Linked DNA regions of Danio rerio. The protein of the gene in region 2 purifies or fractionates together with the protein of the main gene of each other region. This does not show direct contact. Links are inferred from orthologs where the notes say so. Each region holds a gene or a part of one and is shown on either strand. Other genes may lie near its edges. The genes, in order: bag5, dnajb1b and pycr3.

Evidence for each region.
Region 1: the proteins of dnajb1b (region 2) and bag5 purify together in Homo sapiens (affinity purification with mass spectrometry; 3 studies listed by BioGRID and IntAct, with this or other methods). This does not show direct contact. The link is inferred for Danio rerio from reciprocal best matches to the Homo sapiens genes DNAJB1 and BAG5.
Region 3: the proteins of dnajb1b (region 2) and pycr3 purify together in Homo sapiens (affinity purification with mass spectrometry; 3 studies listed by BioGRID and IntAct, with this or other methods). This does not show direct contact. The link is inferred for Danio rerio from reciprocal best matches to the Homo sapiens genes DNAJB1 and PYCR3.

What each region holds. Positions count from the first base shown.
Region 1 is NC_133188.1:17,770,670-17,774,868, forward strand, and holds the start of bag5 (BAG family molecular chaperone regulator 5), read right to left. Parts: upstream 2,801-4,199; 5' UTR 2,610-2,800; coding exon 2,578-2,609; intron 1-2,577. UniProt on the Homo sapiens protein: Co-chaperone for HSP/HSP70 proteins. It functions as a nucleotide-exchange factor promoting the release of ADP from HSP70, thereby activating HSP70-mediated protein refolding.
Region 2 is NC_133176.1:59,235,567-59,239,809, reverse strand, and holds the start of dnajb1b (dnaJ homolog subfamily B member 1b), read left to right. Parts: upstream 1-1,407; 5' UTR 1,408-1,784; coding exon 1,785-2,004; intron 2,005-2,786; coding exon 2,787-3,355; intron 3,356-4,243. UniProt on the Homo sapiens protein: Interacts with HSP70 and can stimulate its ATPase activity. Stimulates the association between HSC70 and HIP. Negatively regulates heat shock-induced HSF1 transcriptional activity during the attenuation and recovery phase period of the heat shock response.
Region 3 is NC_133195.1:55,818,875-55,823,180, forward strand, and holds the start of pycr3 (pyrroline-5-carboxylate reductase 3), read left to right. Parts: upstream 1-1,430; 5' UTR 1,431-1,483; coding exon 1,484-1,525; intron 1,526-1,650; coding exon 1,651-1,729; intron 1,730-3,461; coding exon 3,462-3,526; intron 3,527-4,306.

The DNA.
Region 1 (4,199 bases), on a different chromosome or scaffold from region 2:
GCCATAAACTTTTGTACCGCTGGATTGGTATGCTGCACTGACCATTTATTTGTACCTTCTCTTGTTGATTAGCACCACACTTATCTCACTTAAGCGTTAAAACAGAAACTGAGAAAATTTTTGGTATGATGAAACATTTCAGAAACAAATAACTTGGGCATACTAAAACAACAGATTAATTGTAAAACATCATTTACCCAATGAAGACTTTAAAGAGTTATTTTATATTTGATTATTACATTTTTGTGTCTTAATACTGTTACACTACCGAGAAATCTATAAAGCAAACCTTGTTTGATTTGCTCTTTAATTGATTTAATTTGATTTGTTCAAATAATTTAAAAAAAATAAGACAATTTTGAAATTTTTATGTTCATATAAAATGCTTAAGAAAATATAATAAAGGAATAAAAAGTTTAAAGGGGATTGTTTTCAGAAACATTTTTGTTGTGCTGGTTGAAAATCTCTGCACATTCCAATAGTAATGATTAAAGTAAATTATATAAATGTATTTATATGTATTTTTATATACTGGGTAAGGCATAAGTCTAAAAAATGTTCATCCAATTAAAAAATTGTCAGGCAGACAATTCCCATAATTCTGATAGCCCAAACTGTCTGTCAACAAATGTAGATTTGTACATCTGGGAAGCCATTCACACAGATCCATCATTTTTTTTCCGCGTTTACCTGCACACAAGAGAGAGAGAGAGAGAGAGAGAGAGAGAGAGAGAGCAGTAAAAACAAATGCTAATTGCTAAATCAAAACTTTTGAAAATCCTGAATCAATATTTGAGTTACTTTAGCACGCTGGATGAAGGATGACACCATGGCTGAAGTATTTTTAGACAGGTAATGTTATATTTTAAAACAATTTTAGTCATGCAAAACTTATGTAGATTTTGTTGTTTTATGTTTGGGTTATATGCACAAAAGTGTTGTTCAGCCACTGAAATCTTCCAGCGAAAGAATAATGTGGCTATTTTCAGTTTTATAAGGTACCATTCTACAGAATCGATAATGTTGATTTTTATTAAGTTTAACAACAAAATATAAGTAAATAGCGCTATTCTGCCTAGCCTGCTTTACTGAGGAAGTTGATTTTACATTCACAGTGGTTTTTTTTTTTTAACAATGACAGCCTGCGATGCGCTCTCTATATGGTTTACTATGCTACTTCGAATATTCGGTCTGAAATAACAAGTATGTCTTGGTAATAAGTGTAATTCCTGCACGCCGCTGGCCAACGACAACCGTAGTGGCTTTAGGGCAAAGTGCATGAGTGAGACCTTGCATGCATGAATATTGCACATTATGACAAGTTTTGCTTGCTACACAACTGAAAACATGTTAGATTTAATACAGTTTTTTATTCAGAATTGTAGTATTATAAAGTATAACAGGCGAATGACATGATCTAGTTGGTTGTCTACTGTCATCTTTAGTGTGCGTGTTCATGATTTCAGGAGGCGTGGCTTTATATGGCAGGGGAGGTATTGCGTTTTAAAGATATTATGCTAGCCTGTAGCATTTAGGCAGATCACTTATCACACCTTTAAATTGACCTTGTTCTGTTTTACGTCATGACTCAAAAGCCGCAACCAATTATGCAGCTAGTAATTATGTCAACACATCCTAATATTTGAGCCCTTTTAAAGAATTGATTTCTTGTTTACATTAAGCTTGCATTACCAAGCAACATGCAATTTTATTAACATTCATTCCAGAGAGCTCGGTTATCAGCAGGACTGTGGTAAATGAAACTGCACAGAATGCAAACATTTAAGCAAAGAGTGAGCATTTAGCTAATCTCTAGTCTTAAATCAGTTTGAACAGTCGGTCGGGAGAAAGATTTTCTTAGCATATAGGGGGTAAACAGAGCTAACAAATAGTGGGAGTGATTGGGTGCGAAGTAACGCCCAGGGGGAGCAGGACTGAAGTAACAGACCTGCGCAGACCTCTATAGGCTGCATGTACGGATCCAAATGGGATGCTTCTGGGTCTCGACCACCTGTTAGTGATCACTGATCTTTGAGTAGTTTTCAAGAAAATCTGCATTTGTCATACTTTGTGTTTGAATTTACATTGAGTGTCTGTTGAAACACTGATGGCAATGTGCTGTGTTTTTGGTTTCACCTGCCCTGGATTGTGGAACTGTACACAGCTCATGATGCTGATGTTACTGGCATGCTCAGTTAAAAAAGCTGCCCTGTACATGTTAGCTGAACACACATCTGACCATCATCATATATGCAATCATTAAGCTGTCTTATAGTTCTTAGATACATGATTCAGAAGACATAACATGACTAAATATGCTTTGCAACGGCTGATTCCAAAATGACTACATTTGGTCCCCCAAGACCGTACGGCTCCATCTTTGACATGAACTATAGAATCAATCCAGCAGAGGGAGAATCTAACACAAGCCTGTCCATGCCTCACCATAACGATTGTTCAGTAATAGATGCACATGAATGAAAACATCGCAGAATGACGTTTTTATGGCTTCTGAACACCAGCCAGCCATACCCAGCATATCTCACCACCTCCTGGGATGCGCAGCATATTTCTCACCTCTTCAACGCGCCGAAAACGTTCGCGCACATGTTTAAGGGGCTCCTTTTCCATCAGCCACGCGAGTAAAATGTTTTGCACGGCACAACACTCCAGTAATTTCTGGATCGCAGAGTTGCAGTGATACTGGCAAAGGCAAACAGGCATTCAGATCAGTTGAAGCATTACATCGGCGTGGACCGCATTCCTGCCCCTCCCCTTCCCTTCCCTTCCCTTCCTCGATCAGCGCCAGTGGTCTAGTGACTCTTTTGAATCAGTTCAGTAAAAGATTCATTCAGTAACAGTCTGTGCAGTTGCGTTGTTACGCCGGTGTTCCGGAGAATTCAGTTCCCCTGTTCCCCCATTCACAGCGCATGCGCAACTTTACGGCTGATTCCATGTACACAAATCATGACGTCAAAAATTCGCTTCGCAGTTCATGGTTGTTTTGATGTATTTTCGTAAGCCCGGTGTTTATTTCATCACAGAGTTTATAAAATGTTGTAATTATTTGCATGGACACCCGTGTCTATTGTATTGTTCCTGTTTTTAGCACGCGCTTGTTTCTTTCAAACAGTTGCCTTGTCGAAAAAAATAAACCATACTACACTGCACAAATTATAGTGTGTTTTATTTCAGATAAATCACAGTGATACTTGTGTTGTTTTAAAATACATATTTACGTAACTTGTCATGTATCTTCAGAAAGTGACTTTACATTAAAAAAACAGGAGTACGGATTTTCCCGAAGCAGAGGAAAGTGTTACCTTCTGAGGATTGGAAAACACAATATACAATGCCTTTTTAACATCAGATTTAAATCTAACAATTTTGTTACACCTTAAAAAAAAAATAAGTAGGCCTAAATTAAAAGGATGATACATTAAATGAGTTTACTATTTGAACAACCCTATGCTTATCACACACACACACACACACACATATATATATATATATATATATATATATATATATATATATATATATAAACTAGCAAAAAAAAGCTAAAATCTTTTCAAACGAACCAACCAAAAATACGTGCACGTTTTCAAGTGTTTAAAGCAAGCTAAGCAATAATATTCTTCATTATAGGCTGTACAATATATCTTATCAGCATTAATATTGCCATGTGCCCATCTGCAGTAGTCACATCTGCAATGTTGAACAGCACAGGAGTTCAGAGTACATGTGATTTGTGGAGTAGCTGCAGATGCAGAACCAAAATTAAATAAAAAAAAATATCATTTGCATGTGATTTCAAAGAGTTTAATACATTCAGGCACAAGAAATTATAACTTTTAAATCTTAAACAAATATTAATTGTACTTGTTTTTTTATATAAAGAAGACGTGTTAATTTACATTTGATTATTCGATTTCTGTACTGAATGCTCCAAAAAAAAAACAAAAAAATAAAAATAAAAAACAAACAAACATAAAACACTGTTTATCTCAGCAGTTTTGTCGTTGCCCTGTTTATCTATGCTTGTAAATTGTTTTATGCATGATTCAATCAGTCCCCTACAAAATCATGCCAATCAATGTAAAATAATGAATTATTTTCTAACAGAGCTATTTAACCAATCTGGTGTAATAGTTTTTATATCACAATATATATAAGGCAAAACAACAAAATATTGCAAT
Region 2 (4,243 bases):
CATTGAAAGTGTTCAGAAAGATGTACAAAATCCTTATATGCAATGGCCCAGAGGCTGTTTAGATTGCCCAAAGGCCCTTAAACAATGAATAAATGCACTACAGAATGTTACGTTTTCACTCACGCACAAATTGCATGGAAACGCATCAGGTTTTTACAGTGTAGTACTCACTACTCCTGAGTATTTTTCTAAGGTCTACTTTTTACTCATAGTTTGAGTAATATTTACAACAGATACATTTACTCTACTTGCACTACATTTTTGGCCAAGTAATGGTACTTTTACCTGGGTTAGATTTTTTCAGTATTTTTTCCACCACTGCTTATTAGTACATTTACATTTATGAATCAAAATTTTGTTAACAACATAAGCAAATGATTAAAATAAAACCAATTTTCCTCTTGACTAGGGTAGACAGTAAAGCCCAAAAGTACATTTTCCCACAACAATAAGAGAGGTTTAGAAAACTAAAATTTGTTATTGTGTGTATATATATATATATATATATATATATATATATATATATATATATATATATATATATATATATATATATATATAACAAGTACTCAGCATTAATATTTTTATCCTTTACTCAGTGAATATAAGCAATAATAATAATAATAATATTTGGTGCATATAAACAAAACAGATTTATGAAACGGATATATTTATTTAAAAATTATTTTATCCACCAAACATATTTAGAAATTAAAAAACAATACTATTAAATTCAAGCAAAATATTACAAAAACAAAAAAAAACTACAACCTACAAAATTTCAACCAAATTTTTATTTATTTTTTTTGCTTCTCTTCTCATTAAAATTTGTATTTAATATTTTTCTATAACATGTTAATATGGGTGAACTAGTTTTTGGTCCGTTACCGAAAGTTATTTTGTTAGATTGGTCCAGATTTGACTTCAGTACTGACTAAACTAATGTATATGCACAAATATAATATTGTAAACGTATTAAAATATTAAAAAACATGAATTTAAAAATGAATTTAAAAGATAAGATTTGTTAAGGGGTGTACTAATGTATGCTGAGCACTGTTTGTACACACACACACACACACACGCACACACGCGCGCACACACACACACACACACACACACACACACACACACACACACACACACAATCCATTCAATATAATAATAATAAAATATACTTCCTAATAATTTCCACTTAACATTTAATGAAACATAAGATTTTTTAAAAGGTAGATGATTTAATATTATAAAGATATAATTATAACAATAATAGTACAGTTAAAACATGAGAATCATCATTGGTCTAAAATAGCATCTTCCCTGGACAGAGTTTGTAGGTCACTCGGTCAGGAATGTAAGGGGATTATGCAAATATAAATGACGACATACGAAATCCAGCCGAGAAGCGCCCGTTATGGCGTCACACAGGCCTGTTTATGTTTGAGTACATCATAGTTTGATAGAGAAACGCAGCTGTAGTTTCTTCTGGTTTCGGTTTTGCCCGTTTGCTGCAGCAGCTGTGCGGGTGGAGCAGATCTGCCACGTGGTCCAGGTCCAGGGGTGTGGAAACAACCAGAGACTTTGAGAATTTTCTAGAACTTTCTTTACGGTTTTAAATAGGGGGAACCACAGAGCGGCAGGAGCATAAAAGACCGCAAGGGGACGAGACGACACCTCTGCAAAGATTAGTTTCAGGTTGGTTTGAAAACAAACAGGCTAGCAACACTAGTCTGAACCGCAGTTTTTCTTTCGGAGAATATACATTTAAGAAACACGGAAGCCTAATGGTGAAGATGGGGAAAGATTATTACAGCGTTTTGGGGATTCAGAAAGGCGCTTCTGACGATGAAATTAAAAAAGCGTATCGCAAACAAGCGCTGAAATACCATCCGGACAAAAACAAGTCAGCCGGAGCCGAGGAAAAGTTCAAGGAGATCGCGGAAGCATACGACGTGCTGAGTGACCCGAAAAAGAAAGACATCTACGACAGATTTGGCGAAGAAGGTGAGTAAAAATATGCAAACATTTGTAACTGTGGCTCTGTTCCACGACGCAAATATGAATAAGAAGAGTTTTAAGAGGGATTATGAGCCTTTACTAATAAGATATGTTGTTTAAAGTACAAACTATTGTGTTCGTGTTTGTTTTCTTCTAGTCACGTTTGAGACAAGAGAGATAGATTAGATTACTGACTGGCTGAATCAGTTTAATCTATGATGTTACGTGGTCCTGGGCTGCTTTCGACGCACTCTACACTACTCAAACGTTTGAATTAGAGATAAGTCAATCTGCTGAATCTGTGATAGTGAAGTTTTATTTTGTAAAAATAAGTAAACGAGATCCGATCAGCAATGCTGCATTCTGATTGGCTGCTTGTGCGGGACATTCTAGAGCGTCGAGCGCTTGCTGGAAGATTCTGATAGTCACGTGGTGCGAAGAGGCAGAGCGTTTGAGTTCCGTCAATAGTTCTGTACCTGTTCAGCTTTAAACAATCTTAAATGGGTTTGCACATTCCAGAACATTTTAAAACGACTAGCACTTAAATATAAATATTTACTAATAGAAAATCTATCAAAAGGAACCTTTAGATATTTTTGGAGATACAAGTTAAGATGAATACAAACCTCCAGTCCTTTTACCAGTATGTGTAGTTGAGTAATCAAAATGATCAGTGGTTCTATGCTAAATAATCAACATTTATATGAACTATTAAATTAATCTTGAAATTTGAGTGTTGTATTTTTGTTTAAAGATTGCAATTTGATTTATTTGTGTGCCATTTGCAGGACTGAAGGGAGGTGCTCCTGGAGGAGGTGGTGGTGGTGGAAATTACACATACACTTTCCAAGGAGATCCTCATGCGATGTTCTCAGAGTTCTTCGGAGGGCGAAATCCTTTCGAACATATTTTTGGACATAATGGCGGTATGGATGAGAACATGGAAACTGATGACCCGTTTGCTTCTTTTGGTATGGGTGGCATTGGTGGTTTCCCTCGCTCCTTTACCACACATAGTCACGGTGGAAGAATGGAGAGAAAACAAGACCCTGCAGTGATCCACGACCTCCGTGTCAGTCTAGATGAAGTGTTCACTGGCTGCACCAAGAAGATGAAGATCTCACGCAAGCGCCTGAACCCCGATGGACGAACAACACGCTCAGAGGACAAGATTCTGACAGTGGAGGTGAAAAAAGGCTGGAAGGAAGGAACCAAGATAACCTTCCCCAGGGAAGGCGACGAGACGCCGTCAAATATCCCTGCAGATGTGGTGTTTGTGTTGAAGGATAAACCGCATCCGGTGTACAAACGAGATGGATCGGACATCATTTATCCTGCAAAAATTACTCTCAAAGAGGTGAGATGATTTCTATGATATTGAAGAAATATTCAATAGCATGCTAAATAATTTTATAGGCCACTAGATATTTGAAATAACCAACATGTTTTATACCATTTCAAAAAATGTAACTTCTGAAAGCAAACACACCATTAAGGAACATCAAAGATCAATCAGCAAAATCAAAAACACTTGAAACAGACAGGAGAAAATTCTTGCCTGTTTTGACTCTTGTATCTGAACATGGCTTGGTTGCTTGTTCATACTGAAAGTTACACATTTTTGTACAAGAAAACTAAGACGTTCACTTTCCTTGGTTTCCGAAATGCACATTAGCATGTAAATACTAGGGATGCACCGAAAATGGTTTTTGGGCTGATATCGATAGCCAATAAATCTTAGATTTGAAGGCCGATAACTGATGTATTAGCTGATGAATATAAATATTTTAAAATGTTATATTTTTGCACAGTGAACCACTGATTTTATTTAAAAAAAAAACTTCATAAAAGTTTGAACTGATCTAAAAATAGCCTTCTTAAAGCAAAAAAAGTAATAATTTCAAAATTGCAAGGTGATTATATAAACCTATTCACACTTTCACATAAATCATTTCCTTTTTTCCACATAGCAAATTTACATGCAACTTGACTGTTGCATAAAAATAATAGGTTAAATGACAACTAGATTTAATTAACAAACAAGTTAAACATTTTAAATAAAATGAAAACGAAAAAGTACTAAGTACTTAAACCAGCTCAAATGTCAAATGAAAAGTATTACATATTTGTACAATTGTAAGTCATTTAATACTTTTATAACCGCGCTCCACACTTAAAAGCAGGCAGTTCTGTACAAGTACAAAATTAATTGGCTTAAAGATATCAGCCTAATTTTGAAATTGGA
Region 3 (4,306 bases), on a different chromosome or scaffold from region 2:
ATCGAGTCCTTCAGGCTTGTTTGAAACCTACAGGTAAGTGTGTTGGAGCAGGATTGGAACTAAACTGTGCAGGGCATCGGCCCTCCAGGAATTGAGTTTGACACTGCTGCTGCGTTTGGTGCTTCTTTGCATTTCTTATGTTGGTTTACTTCTTATCTCTCCTGTCGTCAACATTATATCAGTCTCCTATATTGGTCTATAAGTCATTTACTGCTATGGTTTCTCGCGGTGTTCGTCAGGGTTCTGTCCTACTCTTTTTGCGCTATAGGGGAATTGATTAACTAAATTGGCCGTTGTGTATGAGTGTGTGTGTGAATGAGTGTCTATGGGTGTTTTCCAGTACTGGGTTGCAGCTGGAAGGGCATCCGCTGTGTGCTGGAATAGTTGGCGGTTCATTCCACTGTGGTGACCCCTGATAAATAAAGGACTAAGCTGAATTAGAATGAATGAATGAATGTAGCTTTTATGAAGCCAGAAAGTGATGTTCATTTATTTCTTCACTGCCTTTATGTTTCTCTTTTATTTTTAACATTATAAAAATGCTAATTTACCAAGGAAAGATGTTATTTTATGCATATTTTAACATTTATATATATATATTCATATTTAATAGGCAAGTGTCATATACATAAATGTAAATTAAAAGAACACATTTTTTTACAGTATTTAAAATTTAATGCATTGAATAGTCCATGCTTGTAAATCTATTAAATTAAATTAATTAATTAAATTAAATAATTAAATTAAATCCCCCCCCCCCCCCCCCCGAATTTTCTGAATTTTAATTGTTTGATTCTGTCTCTCACAGTGGAAATGCACCTCTGCTGAAAATGTAGACCTCTCTATGATTTCTTTGTAGATGTTTAAAAAATCACAGCATGATCAAATACTTATTGACCTCACTGTATATCATTAAACTAAAGGGTAAACAAACAAGAAACGTAAACAAGAAATCACTAAAATGTTAACATAAATAAATAAATGTATACATTAAAATGCAAACACTGGGCAGTGAAGCTCTGGACTGGAGAATACAGATCAGAGCTTGACACAGAAAATGACTACTGACTAACAAGTTTATACTGAAGCTGGAGTCATTTATTGTAATTTATTACATCTAAAATCTCCAGTGAGTAATTATGCAGCCTACTTTATTTTAATACTTTAATAATATATCATATACCAAAATTACATGCAACATATGCATTTAATATAATAGTAAATATAGTTTACTCCTTACCTCGTCTAATTCTTCTTTCCATGGATCAGGAATTACAGCAACACTGATCTGCTGGATATATTGTTGACGTTGTGTGTTGTATCTTGCTCCAGTCCAGCAGATGTCAGCAGTGTACATGCTATAGTTTCGAGTCTGTACTGTAAGTCCTGAAGAAAATGCCATCCATGTGAGAAGAGTTTACAAATTAAACAGGGATCAAGTTAACAATTTAGCTGCTGCTGCTGCGTCTTTATCAAACTTACCATGAGTCTGTCAGGTGCTTCAGACAAGACCAGCGATTCACCCGTGAGTAGGTTTTGTTGACCATATACTATATTAACCTGCTGATTAAATGTTGTTTAGTGAACAGATGTCAGCAGCAGCATCTCCAGTATTATGATTGTGAAATAAAATGTCTGTTGTGAATTCAGGATGTGTTTCAGATTAAGATCGGATTCATCGGAGCGGGAAACATGGCGTTTGGCGTCGCGCAGGGAATCATCGCCTCAGGTCAACAAATACCTGACAGTACCTTAAATAACTGCATTATATCAACAGTTCTGTTTATAAAGTGTCTAGTATCATGTCAAGTACATTCAGTAGGAAAAAAATATAACAGTAGTTTAATTTATAACAAACCTACGTGCTTTTGAACCTTATATATATATATATATATATATATATATATATATATATATATATATATATATATATATTTTTTTTTTTTTTTTTTTTCCATATTTTAATCGTATAATATGTTGTATTAGGCCTGTTGTTTTGTTCATTTCTGCACTGACAGCTCGAAAGAAAGATTTACATTGATCTGAGTTCATCTGCTATGTCTCTCTATAATTTAAGCCTATAATGCAGAATTCTAGCCAACGTTTCTTTTATAGATTGATTAATTCAATAGATCGATTTTTACAAAACCTGACAATTGAAATGAGGCTTTGTATATATGAGAAAGTCTGACCTCTGCTTTATATTCGGTGACGATGTCTGTGAGTTGTTAAAATTAAAGGGCACATTTTTGCTTATAAAATATTCTATACACAACTGGTCAAAAGTTTGGGGTCAGTATGATTGTTAAATATGTTAAACTAAGCTTCTTCTGCTCACCAAGGCTGCAATTATTTCATCATAAATACAAATTGTGAAATGTTGCATAAAATAACTGTTCAAAAGTACTTTATCATTTAATTTATTCATTTATTCCAGTGATTTTAAAGATGAAATTTCAGCTTCATTACTCCAGTCACATGATCCTTCAGAAATCACTAATATTAATTATTATTATATTTATTAATGGTAATAGTAATAAAAGCAATAATGTCTGGGGTAATCATTTTATTTGAAATTACATACAATAACAAAGCAGTTATTTAAATTTTTGATAAATATTTAACAATTTAACATTTTTTACATTTAATAAATGTAGCCTTGATGAACTGAATAAGTTTTCTTAAAAACATAAAAAAAATTACTGTAAATATATATACAGTGGAAGTCAGAGTTATTAGCCCCCCTTTGTTGTTTTTTTCTTTTTAAAATATGTCCTAAATTATGTTTAACAGAGCAAGGAAATGTTGATAGTATGTCTGATAATATTTTTTCCTCTGAACAAAGTCTTATTTGTTTTATTTTGACTAGAATTAAAGCAGTTCTTAATTTTTTATGAACCATTTTAAGGTCAAATTTATTAGTTCCTTAAGCTAATTATTTTTCAAACTGTCTCCAGAACAAACCATCGTTATACAATAACTTGCCTAATTACCCTAACCTGCCTGGTTAACCTAATTAACCTAGTTAAGACTGCTTCCATCTTTTACTTTCACACAAGTACTTAGTCATTTTAGCGCACGCCTCAGATACTGTTGGCTGGTTCCTGTTGGTTGTGTGTCTTTTTTTACTGACGCCATTATAACGACACAGATCACTGCCTATTCACGAGAAAAAAGTGATTGACAGGTGTAATTATGTGTGTAACTTGCCTTTATTCATTTACTGTATGATTTGTTTATGGGTAAAACAAAGACCATGCAGGTCAGGTAGTTTAAACGGTAGGCTACAAATAATTAATTGGTCATTAATTAATTAATTATTCATAATCGAAAATCTAATCGAATCGTGACTTTAGAATCGAAAATGTAATCGAATCGAGGATTTGGAGGATCGTGACACCCTTACGTGTGATTTGTGTGGTTTTATTGACATTTTATTGCTTTTATTTTTTATGTTATAGGGAAGGTTCCACCAAGTAATATAATTATTAGTGCTCCATCCATGAACAACCTTCCTCGCTTTAAGGTAAGACCTTATGAACATTTAAATTACGCTTTTCCAAAAAAAAAATGTAAAGAAATATTTTGATATAATAAAATGTTCTACGGTTTCCCCCACAAGTCCAAAGACATGCAGTACAGGTGAATTGACCGTAGTGTATGAATGAGTGTGTTTCCCAGTGATGGGTTGCGGCTGGAAGGGCATTCCCTGCATAAACATATGCTGGATAAGTTGGTGGTTCATTCCGCTGTGGCGACCCATGATTAATAAAGGGACTAAGCCGAAAATGAATAAATACAATTTTTTAAAAATAGCTATATATATATATATATATATATATACACACACACACACACACACACACACACACACACACACACACACGGTTAAAATCTGAGGTTTACAGACATTCTAAAAAAGCAATATAAGCATTTTAAAAAATGTCTGATGGTAAATCATACTAAACGTTTACTATTTTAGCTTCAGGATTACCTAAATTATTTGCTAAATGCCAGAATAATTAGAGAATTCTTTTTTTGAGAATTTTGTATTAATTTCTAGACAGTCAAAAGTTTTCACACATTTCCTTGGTATTTTTTAGCTTTGCTATTAAATTGTAAAACTTTGGTCAAATGTTTTGGGTCTCCTTCCACAAGCTTCTCACAATAGTTGGCAAGAATTTTGGCCCATTCCTCCTGACAGAATTGCTGTGACTGAGTCAGATTTGTAGGCTGTCTTGCTCGCACAAGCTTTTTCAACTCCGCTCACACATTTTCTTTAGGATTGAGATCAGGGCTTTGTGAT